Linked DNA regions of Macaca mulatta. Each later gene encodes a partner of the first gene's protein in a complex. Links are inferred from orthologs where the notes say so. Each region holds a gene or a part of one and is shown in the gene's direction. Other genes may lie near its edges.

What was found.
Region 2: the proteins of ZMYND8 (region 1) and DBN1 are in contact, whole or in part, in a crystal structure (PDB 5Y1Z), measured with the Homo sapiens proteins. The link is inferred for Macaca mulatta from reciprocal best matches to the Homo sapiens genes ZMYND8 and DBN1. Residues at the interface, in NP_001350670.1 of Homo sapiens: Gln167, Pro168, Gly169, Thr170, Gln236, Ile237, Val240, Lys243, Ile244, His247, Trp269, Leu285, Gly287, Phe288, Phe307, Gly309, Gln310, His311, Asp312, Ala314, Thr335, Lys336, Ser337, Ile338; in NP_004386.3 of Homo sapiens: Met1, Ala2, Phe6, Ser7, Arg10, Leu11, Leu14, Tyr17, Glu18, Asp92, Ala93, Cys96, Ala97, Ala99, Ser100, Lys104, Glu107, Phe108, Gln110.

The regions. Positions count from the first base shown.
Region 1 is NC_133415.1:100,157,582-100,167,553, reverse strand, and holds the start of ZMYND8 (MYND-type zinc finger-containing chromatin reader ZMYND8), read left to right. Parts: upstream 1-4,865; 5' UTR 4,866-4,925; coding exon 4,926-4,939; intron 4,940-6,081; exon of another isoform or gene 6,082-6,152; intron 6,153-9,859; exon of another isoform or gene 9,860-9,899; intron 9,900-9,972. UniProt on the Homo sapiens protein: Chromatin reader that recognizes dual histone modifications such as histone H3.1 dimethylated at 'Lys-36' and histone H4 acetylated at 'Lys-16' (H3.1K36me2-H4K16ac) and histone H3 methylated at 'Lys-4' and histone H4 acetylated at 'Lys-14' (H3K4me1-H3K14ac).
Region 2 is NC_133411.1:186,448,039-186,457,424, reverse strand, and holds the start of DBN1 (drebrin), read left to right. Parts: upstream 1-40; 5' UTR 41-153; coding exon 154-239; intron 240-644; exon of another isoform or gene 645-899; intron 900-4,717; coding exon 4,718-4,773; intron 4,774-5,393; coding exon 5,394-5,506; intron 5,507-5,678; coding exon 5,679-5,753; coding exon of another isoform or gene 5,754-5,868; coding exon 5,869-6,015; intron 6,016-6,163; coding exon 6,164-6,241; intron 6,242-6,433; coding exon 6,434-6,585; intron 6,586-6,653; coding exon 6,654-6,717; intron 6,718-9,386. UniProt on the Homo sapiens protein: Actin cytoskeleton-organizing protein that plays a role in the formation of cell projections. Required for actin polymerization at immunological synapses (IS) and for the recruitment of the chemokine receptor CXCR4 to IS.

The DNA.
Region 1 (9,972 bases):
AAGCGCTCAGCCTGGTGCACAGCTTCTCAGCCTCTGTACTATTGACATTTGAGGCTGGCTAGTTCTCTGCTGTGGGGTCTTGTCCTGTGCATTGTAGGATGTTTAGCAGTACTAGATGCTAGTAGCACTCCCCACTTGCCTGAAAGATCTTACAACCCAAAATGGAAACAACCCAAAATGTCCCTAGACATTGCTAAATGTCCCCTTGCAGGGGCAAAACCACTGGTCTAGTGGGAGGGAGAAACACAGCGAATAAATCTATAGTCTTCTGCCCATAAAAGTAATTGCTAGGAAGAAAAAAGGGTAGGGCCTGAATTTTCCTGCTTTTATTTTCCTTGTGCTCCTGCATCCCTTGCTCGGCGCCTCACCCGCGCTGTGGCCATCTGCCTGATGAGGCGCGATCATTCACCGCCTGCCCTTTCCACCAGCCCTTTTTGTTTTCCCTCCCGCCATTTGCCTAATCCTGCCAGTCCCTCCTAGAAAGAGGTAAAAAAACATAACAAAACAAAACAAAACCCCACACCCCTCTCCTCGTAGGCATCTTCAGCAAGGGAGGGAGGCTCCTATCTGCCTCTTTGTGGCTGTAACATGTGTGGCTGTAACATGATGCAATCAGCTCCGGGCTCTGAAGGTGAGCCCTTCTGACACCGTGCCCGAAGTTGGCCTCAGTTCTAATTGGCCAAAAAGGAACAAAATAAAACAAGATATTTAAAACACGTCCCTGCCTCAATCCTGTCCATTTCGTGTAACGGTCAGAGAGGCCTGCTGTAGCTGGAGGCTGATAACTGCAAGTGTGCTTATTTTCGGAGACAGCCAAACAGGCTATCTCGGGATGCAGCTTGTGGGGCCGCTCCTGCCGCTGCTCGCCTGGCTGGAGGCCAGCGGAACGGGCGAGCCATTTCAGGGAGGCCAGGCCTCAGCTCATAAGGTGCTGGGGGAAGGGAGCTGGGGCCAGCCCTTCCTCTCCCTCGAGACCAGCATTGTTACTGTGACACTCTGCCTGGCTCCCTACAGCCTGATTCTGTACCCCGATCCTCTCTGTACCCTGGGAACATTAAGAGAGACATGTTTTAATCTATTTTTATTAGCTCATTGCTTATTAATATCACCAAGGAACCTGCTTGTTTAGGCCTGTGCTGGCTTTTCTAGCCAGAGGCAGAATGATTGGACTTTTGTCTTCACTTTCCTTAAAGGGCTGAAAGCCAGGGTTTCCCAACCTTGGACATTTTGGATCAGATACTTCCTTGTTGTGGGGGGCTGGTCCTGTGTACCATAGATGTTTTGCATCATCCCCGGCCTCTACCCACTAGATACCAGCAATACAACCTCCCTAGCTGTGACAACCCACATGTCTCCAGGCACTGCCAAATGTCCCCTGGAGGGCAAAACCCCCCATGGTTGAGAACCACTGGTTTCATGGAATATAAAAGCCTAATTTTAGAGATGGCAAAGTGTTCTCCCTTGACATCTTGCATCTTGCTGGAGGTTGGGAGGGCGAGGGTCGCTTCCCCTGGGCCTCAGTCTGTAATGAGGGGCATTTGAATAAGTCTAATCTAAAAGTTCCCTTCAGCGCCATCATTCAGTACTGAAAACCCACCTCAATAGGGTTGGTCTTCTTCAGGTTGCAGCACTGAGTTGTGATCACGCCACTGCACTCCAGCCTGGGCAACAGAGCGAGACACTGTATCGAAAAACAAACAAAACTGGTCTACCTCCTAAAATAAAACACAGATTATGCAGTTGCTGTTGGTAGGTTTTAGCCTCATTGTTTCTGCTGTGCTCGGTTCAGCTTTGCTTTTGCTCCTTTCTTTAGAGGCAGGTGAAAGTACAGAGTTTAGGGATGTGAAGTGCTAACGGGGATGGACGTCTGATCTCTGGCACTTCCCAGCTGTGTGACCTTGGGCAGCTCACTTCACCTCTCTGGGCTTAGTTCCAGGTTTCTAACAATGTCATCTACTTCAGGAATCAGTCTATGTAAAGCACTAATTTAGAAGTAGCTGCTGGGATACTCACTGCAGTGGGGCTTTAAGAGGAGCTGCTGAATGGATTTCTAGATTGAGACCTGCAACATTTGGTTTTATTTCCTGCTTATCAGCCACATTCCATCAAGCCCAGGACCAGCCCTTCGTAGGCCTCTGCCCCAGGCTTTCTTTTCAATCTGTGTTCCTCCCAGGATTCCATCTGCCACCATACTTTTGTGTCTGTCCCCAGTCGAATTACTGTTTTCCAGATAACCTCAGACCTACCCGAATGCCAACAGCATTCCTCAAACAGAGCAGAGCTGCCAGAATAAGCCAGCAGCTTCCTGCTCTTTGCCCCAGAAAACATTTCAAGTGATCAAGTGATCAGAGAGAGGGAGGGAGGCGGGGAGGATGCTGTAGCTGCTTATGCAACAAGCTTTAATCCCAGGTTAAAATCCACCACGCACACCAGCGGCATATTTTATTTCCTCATTGGTTCGTGGAATTAGCCGCATGCCAGATCTGCCACCAACCCCACAGTCCTGTTTGTTCCCCTCAAAGCAGCACCCGCAGAAACAAACAGCATTCCATATGGGATGGTGGTGGAGGGCCGCTGCCCACACAGCTAGGAGGGCGAGCACCGAGCACGCACTGCTTCACTGTGGCCTCCACCTCTCGCCTCCTCCCATTTGGTCTCCCCATGCAGCTTTCTACCTCCAGGAAGAGCAGGCCCCTCCCTTCTGGTGAGGCCCAGGCCTGCTGTCCTGAGCGCTGGAGCTTTGTCAGGTTGGGTGGCCATGGAACTGTCCCTCCCTGCAGCTTGGCCTCAGCAGTCTAAAACAGTAACAACAGCAACATCCTGTCCGTTTTCATAAAGCCTGGGTCCTGCCCTGCAGTACAGCGAGTTTCAATTCCCAGCTCGTTCCTGAGCCTGTTTGATAGGAGATTCCCGGCCAGGAAGAATTTATGTACAAGCAGTGGGCATCTGTTGTCCATGTGGGGGTTGGAAGGGCAGGGAAAGCAAGCCATCAGCTCTTCGTTTTCTTTGTGGGAACCGTGTGGGACAAGAAAGCCCACAAGTCCTAATTTTAGGAGGAGAGGGGAGACTTTATTGCTCCAGAGTTATGCCTCCTGGCATATGGCTGCGTTAACTCTGGAAGCTTTCTCCAGCCTCTAAAGAATGGTGTTTATTTAGCTTCTGTGGTTCCAGCTTGCTGTTTTAAAAAATCCTGTTAATTAAGCACCTTGTCATTTAAAATGCTGAAGAAGGAAAGCAAGCAAGAAAACTTGGACATTTTAAGGTCCTTTTCGATCTCCGGGTACGGACCAACTGCAGAGGCAGCTTTAGGGAGGAGACCGGCAAAGACCTCCTAACGCAATTGAAGTGGGTAGAATGATAAGCAGCTCTGAACAACCAGTTAATATTTTACTGGGGAGTGGTGCCAGAGATGGGGGTGGGGGGGCTGCCAAATGGAGGGCTGTGTGTGAAATCGCTGCTCCATCTGCCTTGGGGGACGAAAAGAAGCCGTTCTCTGTGCAAATAAATGGAAGCAAGAATCCTTAGGAAGCCCAGGGGATTTGTCTGCCCACCGAGGAGGGCCCAACTCCCCCAGGCACACACATACAGGGATGATTGTGGCAGGAAGGGCTGACCTACGGGGGTAGGCCTGACGCATAATGGGGGCTCTTGTTTCCGGGCTGAGCGTGCCATCTTTCTGTCTCCCTCTGGATTGAAATGGCTTCTCAGCCCGAGAGGCACTGCCTGTGCCCTGGATTCACAAGGTACACGCCTCCCTGGGAAGCAAAGGCTGAGAGACTGCGGCTCTCTCTCTCTCTCTCTCTGCATCTGCCGGGAGAGCTGCAGCTGGTATTTTTCCACAGGCCTTTGCTGCGATCTCAAGGCCTAGTTTTTCCCAGCCAGGCCCGGAGTCCGAGAGAGGGTTAACAGGCAGGAAGCCGAAGGCATCGCAGGCTAATACGGAAGTCAGATTTGTGTTTAACTGACAGGTTTAGCAGGCCTCGGCCGTGGGGGAGGGGCCGGGAGGCAAGGGAAGTTTGTAGATCCAGGCATGTGGCCTGCGAGGAGGGCTTTGGGTTTTTCTTAGGGTAAGGACGGAGAGGGGTCCCCCTTGGCATCGTGGCAGGGAGGCAGGAACCCACGTTGATTTTGCACGCAGGACTGGCTAAGCAGGGCGAGAGGCCCACGGCTCTCTGGCCTGCCTTGCAAGGAGGCATGGGGACAATGACTATGCAAACTTGACCACTCTGCTCCCCTCCTCCCCTCAGCAGCTACTCCTCGCTCCTCTGAGAAGCCAGGGCTGCTCTCTGCTGATTTTTCGTGGCTCCCCCGGTCTGCCTGCTTCCCCAGCTCCTCAGAGGCCTGCCTCAAGCCCCTTTTTCTGGCCCCCTTGGCTGTTTCCGTGGGACTCCCCACTCCCCAGCTTCCCCTTCCCCTTGGAGAGCCACCCTGCTGGACTGTTCTAGAAAACGGCTGGCCTTCCTCCCTGGACAAGGGCCGTTTCTCTGGGGGCAGGTGAGGGTGAGCCGTTCCAGCCCACTCCAAGAAACTCCCTTCCCAGGGGCCTCCAGTCCTCAGGCTTCCCTGGAGCAGGTCAGGCTGGCTGCCCTGGCCGGCCCGTGCCGGGAAATCTAGCCACGGTGCAGGAGAAGTGCGTGTGGGGGCCCCTTTCCCAAGTTTTTCTTGCTGCAAAAGGCCTAGCTTAGCCTGTCTTTTTCTATGCACAGGATGGCTCTTGCTCACCCGAGCCTCACAAAGATAATCGCTCAGGAAGTGTTTCAGCCAATCCGGGGCGGCTTTACACTCCGATTTGCCAGGGCAGCCAATCGGGGATGAGCTTTTATTAGGCGGCCAGATCATCAGCCGAAGTGCCAAACCCTTTTTCTGTGAGAACTAGGAGCCTGTCCTCCATGTTTTATAAGTATTGACATTACACAGTGTTAACAATGCATCCACAGAGGTAAGCTCGACTTTTTAACCATCTTTTTTCCCCCTCCCTCTGAGACATCCGAATTGTGGGCGAGCAGTGTGATTTCTCTGTGGCTGGCCGTGCCACACTCACCCCCAGAGCACTTATGTTAACTTGGAACTGTTTAGAGAGAATTTTTTTGCTTTCTTGGGTCACATGGCTCAGTAGCCATTAGCCATAGCTTGATTTTGCAAACTGGCAAGGGCCTGGCACACCTTTCCTTCCACCAGGGCATGGTGTTTCTGGAAGAGTTTGAAGCTAGATCCTGGTATGCCAAAAAAGAAGCTTTTTTTTTTTTCTTCTTCTTCTTCTTCTTTTTTCTTTCCCTCTTCCCTCTCTCTTCCCCTCTCTCTCTCTGAGCAGTCCCCCCCCCCACCCCTGCACTATTGTCTTCTCTTTTGCCACATGCCCTGCTGGGGGAAGAAAATGGAAGGTAAGCAAACAGGCTCCTCTCCAAGGAGAGCTCATGGCAGACAGCAGAGCAGGCAAGTTTGCCTCTCCAAAGAGGTTCTGGGAAGGCTGGATAAGTTTTGACAAGAGAGGAGCGTGTTTGCAAAAGAATTGAACCCTCAGCAGAGCAGTGCTAAGGAGAGTCTAGCTCCTGGGGCCTAGGTGGGTGGTGGTGTCTGTACACGGTCTTCTCTTATTCTACAGAGCTTCTGCACTTGAAACTACATTGTTCAGCCTGTTTTCCTGACTTAGGTTGCTACAGAGTGTTCTGCAAGCCAGCCTACAGCCAGCAAATGTTTCTGAAAGTGTTTTCTAGGTTTTGGAGGAAGTTTTTGGAGTAGGGATGTGGACTGGGGGCTGTGGGGAGAGAGATCTTGGACAACATCCTGCAAAAAAAAAAAAAAAAAAAAAAGAAAAAATCTGCAAGGATTCTGAATCCCTTAGTTTTCTACTCTTGCATGATTTTCAAGGAACTAATGTTACCTTTTATCCTTGTTTTCATTTTCCTGTCCCTTTTATACATTGTATCCTCCTCTCTTCTCCTGTGTGATGGAGTGTAGAGGAAATAAAATCATGTCTGTGGCTCATGACAGCATTCCATATTCAGTTGTTGGGTTGTGTTGTTGTTGTGTGTTTTTAATAATACCATGTAACTGTTTAAAAAAATTTCCTTTTTGATCAAGTCCCAAATCTGCCAGCCTGTTCTCTCTTCCTAACTGTGGAAAAATGAGACGGTTGCTTGAACATTTGTTGGGTAAGTAAAGCAATCCATTTCCTCTGTGACCATGTTTGAAGAGTTTTGCGAACATTTGGGGTCTGTTTGTAATAGGGGGTCTTGGCTGCAGGAGTTGGGGGCTTCATTAGCAGGAACAAAATAAGGGCTTTTTAAAGAGTGTCTTGATTTTAGGTGACTGTTTGAATCCACTGTTTTTCCTGATAACCTGCAGCTAGGATTGAAGATTATACTTCCTGTTTACCCTGAGTCAGGGGAGAAGTGTTTAGTTCATTGTGACTTGACTCTAGACCTTTAATGGGGTTTGTTTGGATATTCAAACTGTGAGTAGGTGATGTGCTTGTGAAATGTAATGAAGCTGCTTGTTCTTAGAGTTGCAGAGCCCTAAAAACATTGGTGGGGCAGAAGCTGGTGGTGGTGGTGGTGGTGGTATGTGTGTGCTGGGGGGGGGGGTGGTGTCAGTGTGCTCATGCTTTAGGACTTATGTATAGTGCAAAATCTCATCTGCCACCAGACTGGGGTTGGATTCAGGACTCACTGACCAACACATTTTGGCCTTTTTTCAGGTCTCATCCACACATCTGTATGCATGCTGACCCCACATAAGATTTGTCACTTTTTACATTTCCCTTGACCTCTTAAGGCTGCAGCTAGAAGTTAAGTGGGAAAAGTAGAGTCTTGTTTAGCATTACCTTTAGAATTTCCCTAGAAGTTCAGTACGTAAATTTTCAGCTTGGAGACCAATCTGACATGACTGTAAATGCAGGAAATATATTCAATTGCTGTGTTATGTCAACTTTATGGAGTCAGTAATCTTTTTTCTTTCAAATGAGTGTCCAGTAGCCCACTTTCTGACACCAAATTGGAAAAAGGCTCATTTAATCAGGAGAAACGTTTCGTACCACATTCTAAGTTGAAAAAAGTCTGTGCAAGGCAGGCCAGCTTAGCTTCTTAGAGTAAAACTGCAGGCAGTTAATGATGTTACATACTTAAAACTGAACAGTGCCACTGCCCCAAACAAGTAAGTTTAGACACTCAGCTATTTTCTTTGTTCTTATCTCCTTGCTGTAAATGGAAATTACATATTGAGGTTCTTGTGGCCTCCCTAGAAGCAGTGTCTAATCATAAGACTCCTGGTTTGGTGCCTTCAACGTTTGCATAATACTGTGTTTGTTGGGCTGGAAGGGAACTTAAGGGCAAGGCGTTTGTCCTCTAAAAGCTTGCATTAAAATGGCTCCCACAGGTTTGGAGAGCCAAGATGTGTTCTCAGATGTACAGCCCCCAGCAAGTTGCCAACACTGGACCAAGCTAGCCACTTTTCCTCTGGTACTGTGACCCCTACCAAGCATGAGTCTGTAAAAAGTTAATTGCTTTCAAAGTAGCATTATTTTCCAGTTTCAGGAAAGGGGAAAAAAATGTCTGCATTGCAGCAGGACTAGGTAGGGACGGCAGTACTGGCTCCCAGAGCAGCCCAATGGGGTTCTTCTCCTCTAGCTTTTAAACCAATAGACTTGGAGGAAAGGTTAAAGATTGACAATTACAGTGGCCGAACTAAGAACAAGCCTTCTGGAAATTTCTACCATCTTTGTTCCTTTTAGGAAAAGCGGATCTGCCAAACAGAAGAGTCTCCTACCTTCCATTCCTAGGTCATCTCCCTTCCCTTCTTCCCCCCACAACCCCCCTTCTTTTTCTCATCAAGGTATAATGTTCTCTCTGCCACATTTGTAAATTGCAGAGGGAGGAACAGAATGTTGGGCTGTTTTCCTTTTTCCTTCTGCCTCCTCAGTCCCCAAAGAGGATACACAGCTGCAAGGAGCAAACACAGACACACTGAAGCTTTTGATTCCTCTTTTTTTTTCCTTCAAGACCCTCCAGGATGGGTTCACTTTCTGCTTTGGGAAATTAAGTGGCATTCACGTGGGGGAGGGGGAGTAACTGCTTTTATTAGCTCCAGAAAATGGTCAGTGTTCAGTCTGTAACTAGGAATTAATTATATATAATCACTCAGTAAACTTTCTACAGAGTTTTTCTAATTGCTGAGCCTGATCATAGTTAGCCCGTTGGCGCCAAGTCCAGTTACTTTTATAATTAACAGCTCAAAGATTTGAGTCAGAAAGAAACAATTGGGGGCCTCTTGGATTATAAATTAGGGATGAAAACAATAGCTTTTTTTCCTTTCTTTCTTGTAACCTCTTTTATTTTAAACAAAACATTCCCCCTTTTCTTTCCCTGGGAGAACCAGTGGGGAGACTGCATCAGGTCTTAAATATGAGGACGGGAGACACTTTTTAGGAAGTGGGGTGACAGTAACCTAGAAAACCCTGAGGCAAAGGTAGGTTTTTAAAAGTCCAGCCACTTCCAATGTGTGATGTCTTTGTTTCTTTTGCCCTCTTTCCCCTTCTCTCTCCTGTGGCAGAGGCAGCAGACATTTGTCAGCCTGGGAACCCTCAATCTGGCTTTGCCTCTGGTTGACTCTGGAAAGAAAGATACATTCAAAGGGGCCTTCGCTACTGAACAGCAGAGATTTAAAAAGGGAATATGTTTCGAAGCCCTTTGGTTACTCTTAAAATGCAAAATCTGAGCAAGGGTTCACCCTTGGCTCAGGTTGCTAAGATTATGGTTGCCCTCCCCCCTACTTCCCACTCTCCTTGCAGACAAACAAGCAGGCAGTGGCCATGCCAGCTCTGCAGCCAGTGTGCTGCCAGCCTGCCCCCCCCATCCCGATTACCTACCTACCGGCCGACGGGGGCCAATGGCCTGTCCTTGCCCTGGCATGGCCTTGGGCACTGTGCCCTCCTTTCTCCCCTGGAGCTAAAAAGCAGTCACCTTGAAACTCCTCACTCCCAGCACCAGAGGAGTTCTGAGGCCAATGCTCAGACCTGTAACAGTAAATGACGTTATCCACTCAGGCTGTTAGTTCGGCCTCTGAAAGCGGGTTTTGCAAAACCCATTGTTAATTCTCAGGCTCTGTTGGGGGTGGTCAGAAATCTAATTTGTGAGTATCCTGTGCATTGGATAAGGGAGTGTTTTCCTTGTGTTTCTCCTCTGCAGACTCGGATTGTCTTTCCTTGATGTTGACTGTCTTAGGACTGGCTGCTTCAGAGGGCTGGGTATTTGGTGGCTGTTTGCAAGCTTATAAACAGCCTTTTTATTTTACCTTGGCTGTAGACTGAGGTGCAGCCCTTTAGCTTGGCTTTTCAGATGCCTGCTGTCCTTGAAGCACTTTCATTTTACCTAGCACCTTTTTGGTATGGATGCAAAGCTGGTTTCTAATAGACTGAGAAGAGAAGGGGGACCGGGCTTCGTCCTCGCCTCCCCCCAGCCTGCTCCCTGGGAACATTTTTGTGTTTGCACAGACACCTGTCCGTCTGCAGTCTGTGCCACGGGGCTGCACAATTCCTAACCTTCTACCCACCTAATTCGAGGGCAAGGGGGCCTCATCACAGAGCCTCATGTTGAAAGCTCAGGATCTACAAGAGAAGGCTTTTCCTTAGGAACCTGTGACTTCACAAACTCTCCCTGTCATTGCAGAGTTTTTTTTTAAGCTTCTAAACGTTGGGTTGTTGGTGTCCTTTGGTTCAGCTTTTCCTAGTTCTGGTATTTAGGAAGGTGGCTTTGAAACTAGCAGGGCTGCTTAAACAAGAGCTACAGCTATTGAACAAACTGCTACCATTTTAGCTTCAACACAGGAATGAGGCAGTGTTGCCAGACGCCATTTTAAGAATCCTGCATAAATAGCTTAGCTACCGATGACTCTGCCTGTTTTAGGTGAGTGCTTATATAAAGCTGCTCTGCTAACCATTCCCCCCCACCCCAATTTCTTAAAAAATTAATTGCAGAT
Region 2 (9,386 bases), on another chromosome or scaffold:
CGGCCGGCTCCCCTCCCCCGGCCGCTGGCTCGCTCGGCTCGCGACGCTGCAGAGGCTCCGAGGCGGCGGCGGCGACTCCCTCTTTCCCTCCCTCCTCCTCCGTCCGCCCGTCCGTCCGCGCGTCTGTCCGTTCGGCCCGGTCCGGCCCGAAGCATGGCCGGCGTCAGCTTCAGCGGCCACCGCCTGGAGCTGCTGGCGGCGTACGAGGAGGTGATCCGAGAGGAGAGCGCGGCCGACTGGTGAGCCCCCCGCCCCCGCCCCCGGCCCCTTTGTCCCCGCGCCGCCGCCGCGCCTTTGTTTCTCTCCCGCCCCGCCGCCCCGCCGCCGGGAAGGGAGGGGGACCCCGAAATGGTGCAGCGGGCCGGGAGGGCCGGGAGGGGCTGCCTTTGTGCGCGCCGGGGGAGGGGCCGGCGGGCCAGGCGGGGCACTGCCGGGTCCCAAGTGCCCGGAGGCGGCCCCAGGCGCGCGGTGGGAGCGGCGGCCGGACGCGGCCCGGAGGCGCGGGGTCCCGATGTGGGGCCCAGGGCCGCGTGGCCCTGCGGGAGCCCATCCCCCACCCTACCCCCGGGCCCGGGGGACAGGTGTGCACGGGGCGGCCAAGGGCACCTTCGCCACCTTCGAGCGGGCGAGGTCCGGGTGGGGACGGGGCGGGGACCGAGCTAGCGGAGCCAGCGCAGCCTGCCTGGTTCATCCCGGCCCGGCCACAGCACAAAGGAAAGCGAGGGCGGGGGAGGAGCGGAGCGGGATGGGGGCCGGGCGCCCCGCCCACCGGGGGGCCTCTCGGAGTGGGCCGCCCTCCCCCCGGAAACCTGGGCTGGAGTGAGGTGGAAGGATGTTTGCTGCCACATGGCGACCGCGAAGTGACTCCCTTACCGCCGCGGGTCGCGGAGGAGGCAGGGGTGAGCTCTCCTCCCCTACCTGAAGGGGACTGCGGGGACTAGGCAGCTGGCTGGGGGGCACTGAGCTGCCTGTCTAGGGCGCCAGCTGAGGTCCCTGGGAGGAAGCCCTCTGGAGAACAAGTGTGGAGGGAGCCCCGAAAGAGGGCTGAAGGGGTGAACAGATCCACGGGCCCCTACCAAGGGGCCCTCGGTCCCTGATGGGGGAGGAGCTGGGCCGCCCCTCTCCCCGCCCCCCAACTGCTGTCTCCCCCTGAGCTGGGGGAGGGGATGGACCACCTGCTCTGGGGCTGGCTGGCGGCGGAAAGAAGAAACCGAGGGGTTCCTCACTGCCCCATCCTGGAATCCTCTTCCTCCCCGCCCCACCCCGTAATACTCTTGGGGAAGGTGCCCATCTGGTTCCTAGGCCTCCTCTCCCCGCTGGCAGATGGGAACAGGCTCTTCTTGAGGAAACTGAGGCAAAGAGGAGGGCGGGTCTGAAGGACCCCGCTTGGGCTGGCCTCACCCACACACTGGGCGGGCAGTCAGGTGGAGACTCTGACCTGGGGGCTCCTGGAGGAGAGGATGAGATGGCTGGGCATCCATGGCATGGTACTGCAGCACTGGCCAGCAGCCAGGCCTGGAGGGATGGACGCGAGAGAGACAAGCTCTCGTGTCCTGCAGGTCAGTCACAGGAGAGGCCAGCACAGACTCAGCAGGCAGGCGGCCCACCCATTGTCCCAGCCCTGCCCCAGGGGGCTGAGATCATGGGAGGAGCTCTGGGCAAGTGGCCGGCTTGGCCTGGTGTAGGAGCTGGCTTCAGGGTAAGGCCCCGCCTGGGGAGAGGCACAGCTCACCCCAGAACACCTCCTTCGCCCTCCAGCCTGGAGGGGTGTTGTCTGCCACCACCCCATTTTCTCCTAAAAGCATAGCCCTGGTGGCCTATTGCCAGGGCCACAGAACCCCTGTTGCTCAACATCCTGCTCAACAGAGGCCTGCCCCCCCCACCCCAGCAGCATCCATGTGGCCAAAGCGAGTTATTCATCACTGGTGTGCGTCACCCCCCATCTGGGTTGTGTGTGGGACACACAGATGCACACATGCACATATTTGTTCACTACGGGCCCAGATCACATTTTGAAAAAGGGGTGTGAGGATCACTTTCTGCACAAGAGGATATGAATACCCCAGTGCCCAGCATGGAACCAGGGGTGCAGTGAGGTCTGAAGACTCAGAGGCAGACGCTGCCCGTAGGTCCAGAGGGAGGGGTGTCGGGTAAATGGCTGTCTGCCCCCGCTTACCTTGCTTCCAATGGGGAGGGGTGGTTGGGGGGGAGTTCACTCTAGGTGGCAGGGCCTCTGAAGTGGACCACTACTCTGGCACAGGGAGCAGGGGACCCAGGAAATGAGGTTGTATAGTGGGAGGGGCCGCTGTTGTCCTGGTTGTGATATGACTCACTGTGATCATATACAAGTTCCTGGTCCTCTTGGAAAGAAAAAGGATTGGGCCCAGCCCTACCTCAGATACTGAAGGACTTTCTAGCACCACCATCCTGAGAGTGATGGTCCTGAGGGGTCCACCTGCCCTCACCCCCCAACCCCAGCTCACCCGAGGGTCTCTGGAACTGCCACATTCCAGCTCCCATCTCACACTAGTTCAGTATCTCTGGCTAGATGGCTTCTAAGTTGGTGTCAATATTACACATGCTTATGGTGTGCGGTGTGCTGGACCCCAGGACCCAGAGAGCAGGATGTGCTGATTGACTGAGTCAGCGTTCCTGCCTTCAGGAGGCTTACAGTTGGGGGCAGTGTCTGTCTCTAGGAGTTGGAGCTGGTAAGATATGTAGGGGTCCTCTACCCCATCCTGATTCCCTGTGGTTTCACCAGCTTCCACCTGGTGCAGCACCAGGCTCGGGATGCCTCTGATGTGTTTGAGAAGCACTGGTCTTTGTATTCCTGCTGGGATGTGGTGGGTGCTCTGGGAGGGGCAGCTCAGGGGAGGCTGCCGGGGGCCAGCAGCCAGCACTGGGCTCTGAAGAACGGGAGGATTCCACTGGGAATAAGCGTGGGGTAGAGGAGCAGGTCTTGCCTTCCATGTGAAGAGAACAACATAGGCAGAGGCTCCAGGGTGAGCCCTGTCCAGAACCCTGCCTGGGTCAGGGAGCCGTCCAGTGTGGCCCAAGTGTGTGGTGTGGACAGGGCAGTCTGATGGAAAGGCAGGCTGGAGGGTTTGAACTGGGGTATGGTTTCTGCTGGAGAAGGGCTGTCGCTGGAGCAGGAAAAGGTGGCCGGAGGTGGGTAGGCAGGGGCTGAGGATGGAAGGCGCCCCAGGGAGCCTGGGCAGGCCAAGACAGGTCCTCTCAGGGACGCTTGATGTCTAGAGCAGTCTCTAGGAACTAGGGTCCCTGGGCTCTGCCTCAGTTTCTCATCTGTGCATGGAGAGGGACAGAGCCTGCTTCTCTCAGGGCCCTTTGTTCCCGTGGTGGGTTAGGGCAGCAGAACAGGTGGTGGGCCAGCTGTGCTGGGAGCAGCTGTCAGGGTCAGGCTGGAGCTGGGGGTAACAGTTGGACCAGGAACTCCCAGCCTCCCAGCCCACCTGTGTTCCTTCCTGGAGGTAGGAAGTGGGGAATTCAGGAAGGGGAGGGGCTGGGGCCATTTGGCCCTGGCCACAACCTCTTAAGATGTCCCCTCCGTCCCTCCCGCCTTCATTTCCTTTGTCCCTTCACTTCTGTCCTTTCTCTTTTTCCTCCTCTCCCTGTTTCTCCCTCTGCTTCTCCCCTCCTCTTTCTCTTCCCCTTTGCCCTCCCTTACTGCCTCCCCTCCTCACAGCCCCAGCCTCCTGCCTTGGCACGTGGGAATAGGAGTTTGGAGAAGGGGTTGAGCCCTTTCAAACCTCAGGGACAAGGCCCTTCCTCCTAGGCCCGGCTCTCCTCCCTCCCAGAAGGTCCTCAGCCTGGGCCTGCATGGGGTGATGGGGGAGGCATCTCTGCATTCCCTTCCGTGAAATGGATGCTCTGTCACCACAGCCTATCAGAAGGAGCCAGGGCACACAAAGCTGGGGAGGAGGAGGAGGAGGAAGGCCGCCAGGTCAGCTTTCTGTTGAAGCTCAGGCGGAAGGAAAGGCCAGCAGTCTCAGAAGGCCTCAGCCAGGGCTGAGGCAGCCTAGGGGCTGGAAGGCCTGGAGCTCACGCATGGCCACCCTGGGGCCAGAGTCTGGGCGAGAGTGACTGCAGTGACCTCATCCCCATTTCAGAGAGGCGGAGATTGAGGCTGAGGGCGGGTCCCCAGGGTCCTTTGTGTTCAAGGAGAATGCAGTTGGGGTGGGCCAGTCGTGTGCCAATTGCAGGGTTGCCATGGTTACCGGGGGATGCCCAGAGCTGTAGGAGCACCAGGTTCTCTCTTCTCCTCCTCCCTCCCCGGGGGAGGGGCAGCGGGGACCAAGGCACGTGCCAGGTAAGTTCCTGGCACTAGCCAATGGGGGATGAGGATTGTGGTAGCCAGGGAACAGTAACCAAGGAACCGTCGCCTTGGAATCTCCATCACACACCCGCTCCACTGGGTTGTAGGCTGCCAGGGCCAGGGCCGGGATGCTGTGCACTGAGCTCGACCAGCCAGCAATTTCTCCCCTCACTGCCTGTGCCCCGCCTGACCCCGGCCTCCAGCGGCACCCTGCTGGGCTCCCGCCTGAACCAGTGCCTGGCCCTGTTGTCATGGCTACAGCAGGAGCCCTCCCTGTTCGTGTCCTACCCCCTCCATGTCCCCTATCCCTCCCCAGAGCCGTCCCCACCCAGAATTGGCGGCCTGGGCCCTGACAGTTTGACAGCCACCCCTCCCTCTCCCCAGGGCTCTGTACACATACGAGGATGGCTCGGATGACCTCAAGCTTGCAGCATCAGGAGGTAGGAATTCCAGCCATTCCTTCGCCTTCCTCTCCACCCCCTCCTCCCGTTGTTTTCTTCCCCACCCACCTGACTGTAGGCCACCTCCCCGCCTGCACCCTGCAGCCCCACACTTGCCTGGATTTGGCTGGTGTCCTTCCTCCAGTCATCCCTGTGTCCCCAGGGTGGGGAGGAAGCTCTGAGGCTTGTTGAATGTTGGACTTAGGAGGCTGAGCCTCCAACAGGGAAAGTGACTTGCCTAAAGCCACACAGCTGGGACGCTTTGGGGGAAGGGCCCTATTCACTGCCTTCCCCAGAGCCAGAAGGCTTGATTGTGCCTCTGGGCACTGGCACCTGGTGAGACATGATGATGTGTGAAGAATGAGACCTGAGTGTGAAGAACAAACACTTCCTCAGTCCTACCCCAAATCAGGGCCTGCAGGAGTCATAGGCAAAGCCGCATCCCTGTGCACTGCCGCCCCCACACATACCAACACCAAACTGGGGCCCACACATCCCAGAGGCCAGAAGACCCCTGGGGGGCCTGCGGAGCCCTGGAGGAGCCTTTCCTTTGAGTTCCAGGCTCTTTTTGGGAAGGGTTTAGGAGGCAGAGACACCTGACGCTCTCCTGGTTACCCCAGAAGGGGGCTTGCAGGAGCTTTCGGGACACTTTGAGAACCAGAAGGTGATGTACGGCTTCTGCAGCGTCAAGGACTCCCAAGCTGCTCTGCCAAAATACGTGCTCATCAACTGGGTATGCGGCCGGGGCTGGGGACGGGAGCTGAAGGCCCAGAGCAGGTGCCCTGCCCGTCGGCCCTCTGACACCCATGGAGAGGGAACCCCACCAGTTCCGGGGAAGATGCACCCTATCATGTAGGGCCCCCCCTTGTCCTTTCCCGACCGCCTCTTTGCTGGGTACTTTGCAGGTGGGTGAAGATGTGCCTGATGCCCGCAAGTGCGCTTGTGCCAGCCATGTGGCTAAGGTGGCTGAGTTCTTCCAGGTGTGTGTCGGGGGCCAGGGCTCTTAGGGGTGGGGACAGCCACCAGGGTCTGTGTGCTGGGGTGGTGATGGCGGGAGGATGGTGCCACCTGAGCACTGCCATCTTCTTGTGGAAGGGCGTCGACGTGATCGTGAACGCCAGCAGCGTGGAAGACATAGACGCGGGTGCCATCGGGCAGCGGCTCTCCAACGGGCTAGCGCGGCTCTCCAGCCCCGTGCTGCATCGGCTGCGGCTGCGAGAGGATGAGAACGCAGAGCCCGTGGTTAGTGTGTGTTTGGCACCCGTGGACTCTGCCTGTGTGGCCTGGTGCTCGAGTCTGGCCTGCCCGGTCCCTCTTAGCCCTCACCCTTTAGGTGTGGGGGGCTCCTGGGGCATTCAGCCTGCCCACGCTGGGTCCTTCGACACCGCAGGGCACCACCTACCAGAAGACAGATGCAGCTGTGGAAATGAAGCGGATTAACCGAGAGCAGTTCTGGGAGCAGGCCAAGGTATGGAACCCTGAGCCTGGCCTGGCTGAGCCGCCCCTCGTGGACCCCATGGGGCAGGTCTGAGTCCCTCACTGCAGTGGCATGGCCCATGCCACGTGCCCCGCCCCCAGCCCTGGGTTAGGGAGGGGCCAGAGGGACAGGGTTCAGGTGCCCAGGCTCAGGGCCTACCCTTGCTCGCACCGGGGCTCGCAGAAGGAAGAAGAGCTGCGGAAGGAGGAGGAGAGGAAGAAGGCCCTGGATGAGAGGCTCAGGTTTGAGCAGGAGCGGATGGAGCAGGAGCGGCAGGAGCAAGAGGAGCGTGAGCGGCGCTACCGGGAGCGGGAGCAGCAGATCGAGGAGCACAGGTGAGCCCGCCCGCCCGGCAGCGCTCCAGGGTCCCCCGGGCGCACCCTGAGGCTGCTTATCGTTCCAGGAGGAAACAGCAGACTTTAGAAGCGGAAGAGGCCAAGAGGCGGTTGAAGGAGCAGTCTATCTTTGTAAGTTCTTGGCCAAGGCTCCCGGTCTCTGGGTCAGGGAAGTGAGAATGGTCCCTGTGCTCCTGGGCCTTGTGGGGAGATCAGTGGCTGGGAGACAGTGGTGGCTGTTCTGGGGACGTGCATGGGCACGGGGTGCCATGGAGCATCAGGCCTGGCACCTCATCACGTGGGGCTCTGGCCTCTGGCTGTGGAAAAAGACTACTTTGGAGAAGCTTGTGCTCTAGATTGGAAGAGAACATCCATCTAGACCCAGACCCTCACTGACCAGGCTCCCCCTCCCCTCCCCTGGGGTCTCTTGGCAGATTAGACACTGTTCCTGCACTCTGAGGGGCCACCAGGCCTGGTCCCGCCACAGGAGTGAGGCAGGCGGCATGGGGGAGCCTGGGCCAGTGCCGAGCATCCGTAGCCAGTGTGCTGCGTCTCCTTGGGAGCAGCCTCTTTGTTCCAGGGGTCCCGTCTGAATCTCCAGACATTGGGAATTGCGTGTAGGTCCTATGGATTGGTCCCTGAAAATTACAGCAGAGTCACATCTTCATGCTTTGAATTTAGTGTTTTGGAAATAGCTAATGTCATTCAGGACTGAGCGTGGCTCAGTTCAGGAAGGGAGGTGGGTTCATACTCATCTGGACTGGGACTGTGATGGGCAGGTGCAGGGCTGTGGGGACTGAAACGGGCTCCAGAGTCACCCACAGGAGGCTGAGAGAGAGGAGGCAAGACAGTCCTGCAGGCACCAGCATTAAGTCACTCCAGTCACATCGGCCCTTGGATGGGATGGGGACAATGTGTGGCTGGCTGGTAAGCTCCAGTGTCATTCATTCAACACACACTTGCCACCTGCCACATACAGAACATGGTGGAGAACAAGCTGGGTAAGATCTTATTTTCATAAGCTGATTCATGTTTTGTTTTATTTTTTTGTTTTGTTTTTTTTTTTTTGAGATGGAGTCTCACTCTGTCACCCAGGATGGAGTGCAGTGGCATGATCTTGGCTCACTGCAACCTCCGCCTCCCGGGTTCGAGCTATTCTCTCCCTCAGCCTCCTGAGTAGCTGGGATTACAGGTGCACACCATCATGCCCAGCTAATTTTTGTGTTTTTGTAGAGACAGGGTTTCACCATGTTGGCCAGGCTGGTCTTGAACTCCTGACCTTAGTTGATCTGCCTGCCTCGGCCTCCCAAAATGCTGGGATTACAGGCGTGAGCCACTGCGCCTGGCCACATGTATTTGCTTTAATTGTGGCAAAATACATAAAATGTACCATTTCAGTCATTTTAAAATCTGCATTTCATTAAGTGGCATTAAATTCATTCATATTGTTGGATAACCACCACCACTGTTCATTTAACACAAATTCTGCCCTTCCCCACTGGCCAGCTCCTGGCAGCCACCATTCCACTTTCTGTCTCTATGAAGTTGACTACTCTGGAGACCGCCTATCAGTGGAATCACACAGTGTTTGTCCTTGTGCGTGTGGCTTATTTCACTTAGCATGATGTCCTTAAGGTTCATCCATGTTGTAGCATGCGTCAGAATTTCCTTCCTTTTGAAGGCTGAATCATATTCTATTGTATGGATATACCACATTTTCTTTATCCTTTCAGAGTGAGGGTTATTTATTTATTTATTTTTTGAGATGGAGTCTCGCTCTATTGCCCAGGCTGGAGTGTAGTGGTGCGATCTCAGCTCACTGCAAGCTCCGCCTCCCAGGTTCACGCCATTCTCCTGCCTCAGCCTCCAAGTAGCTGGGACTATAGTCCCCTGCCACCATGCCTGGCTAATTTTTTTGTATTTTTAGTAGAGACGGGGTTTCACTGTGTTAGCCAGGATGGTCTCGATCTCCTGACCTCGTGACCCACCCACCTCAGCCACCTAAAGTGCTGGGATTACAGGCATGAGCCACTGCGCCTGGCCTGCCTCCCAGGTTTAAGTGATTTTCCTGCCTCAGCCTCCCAAGTAGCTGGGATTACAGGCACCCACCACCACGCCCGGCTAATTTTTGTATTTTTAGTAGAAATGGGGTTTCACCTTGTTGGCCAGGCTGATCTCGAACTCCTGACCTCAGGTGATCCATCTCGGCCTCACAAAGTGCTGGGATTACAGGCATGAGCCACTGCACCCAGCGGATAAAGTTTATTCCTTTTTTTTTTTTTTTTTTTTGTATCTATAGTAGAGACGGGGTTTCACCATGTTGGCCAGGATAGTCTCGATCTCTTGTCCTCGTGATCCACCCGCCTCGGCCTCCCAAAGTGCTGGGACTACAGGCGGAGCCACCGTGCCCAGCCAAGTTAATAAATAAATATTTATTATTTTTTAATTTTTTTGAAACGGAGTCTTACTCTGTCGCCCAGGCTGGAGTGCAGTGGCACGATCTCAGCTCACTGCAACCTCTGCCTCCTGGGTTCAAGCGATCCTCTTGCCTCAGCCTCCTGAGTAGCTGGGATTACAGGCATGCACCCCCATGCCCAGCTAATTTTTGTATTTTTGGTAGAGACAGGGTTTCACCATGTTGGTCGGACTGGTCTCGAACTCCTGACCTCGTGATCCACCTGCCTCAGCCTCCCGAAGTCCTGGAATTACAGGCGTGAGCCACTGTGCCCTGCCCGATAAAGTTTATTTATTTTTTAAATTTTATTTTTATTGATTTATTTATTTTTGAGATGAAGTCCCAT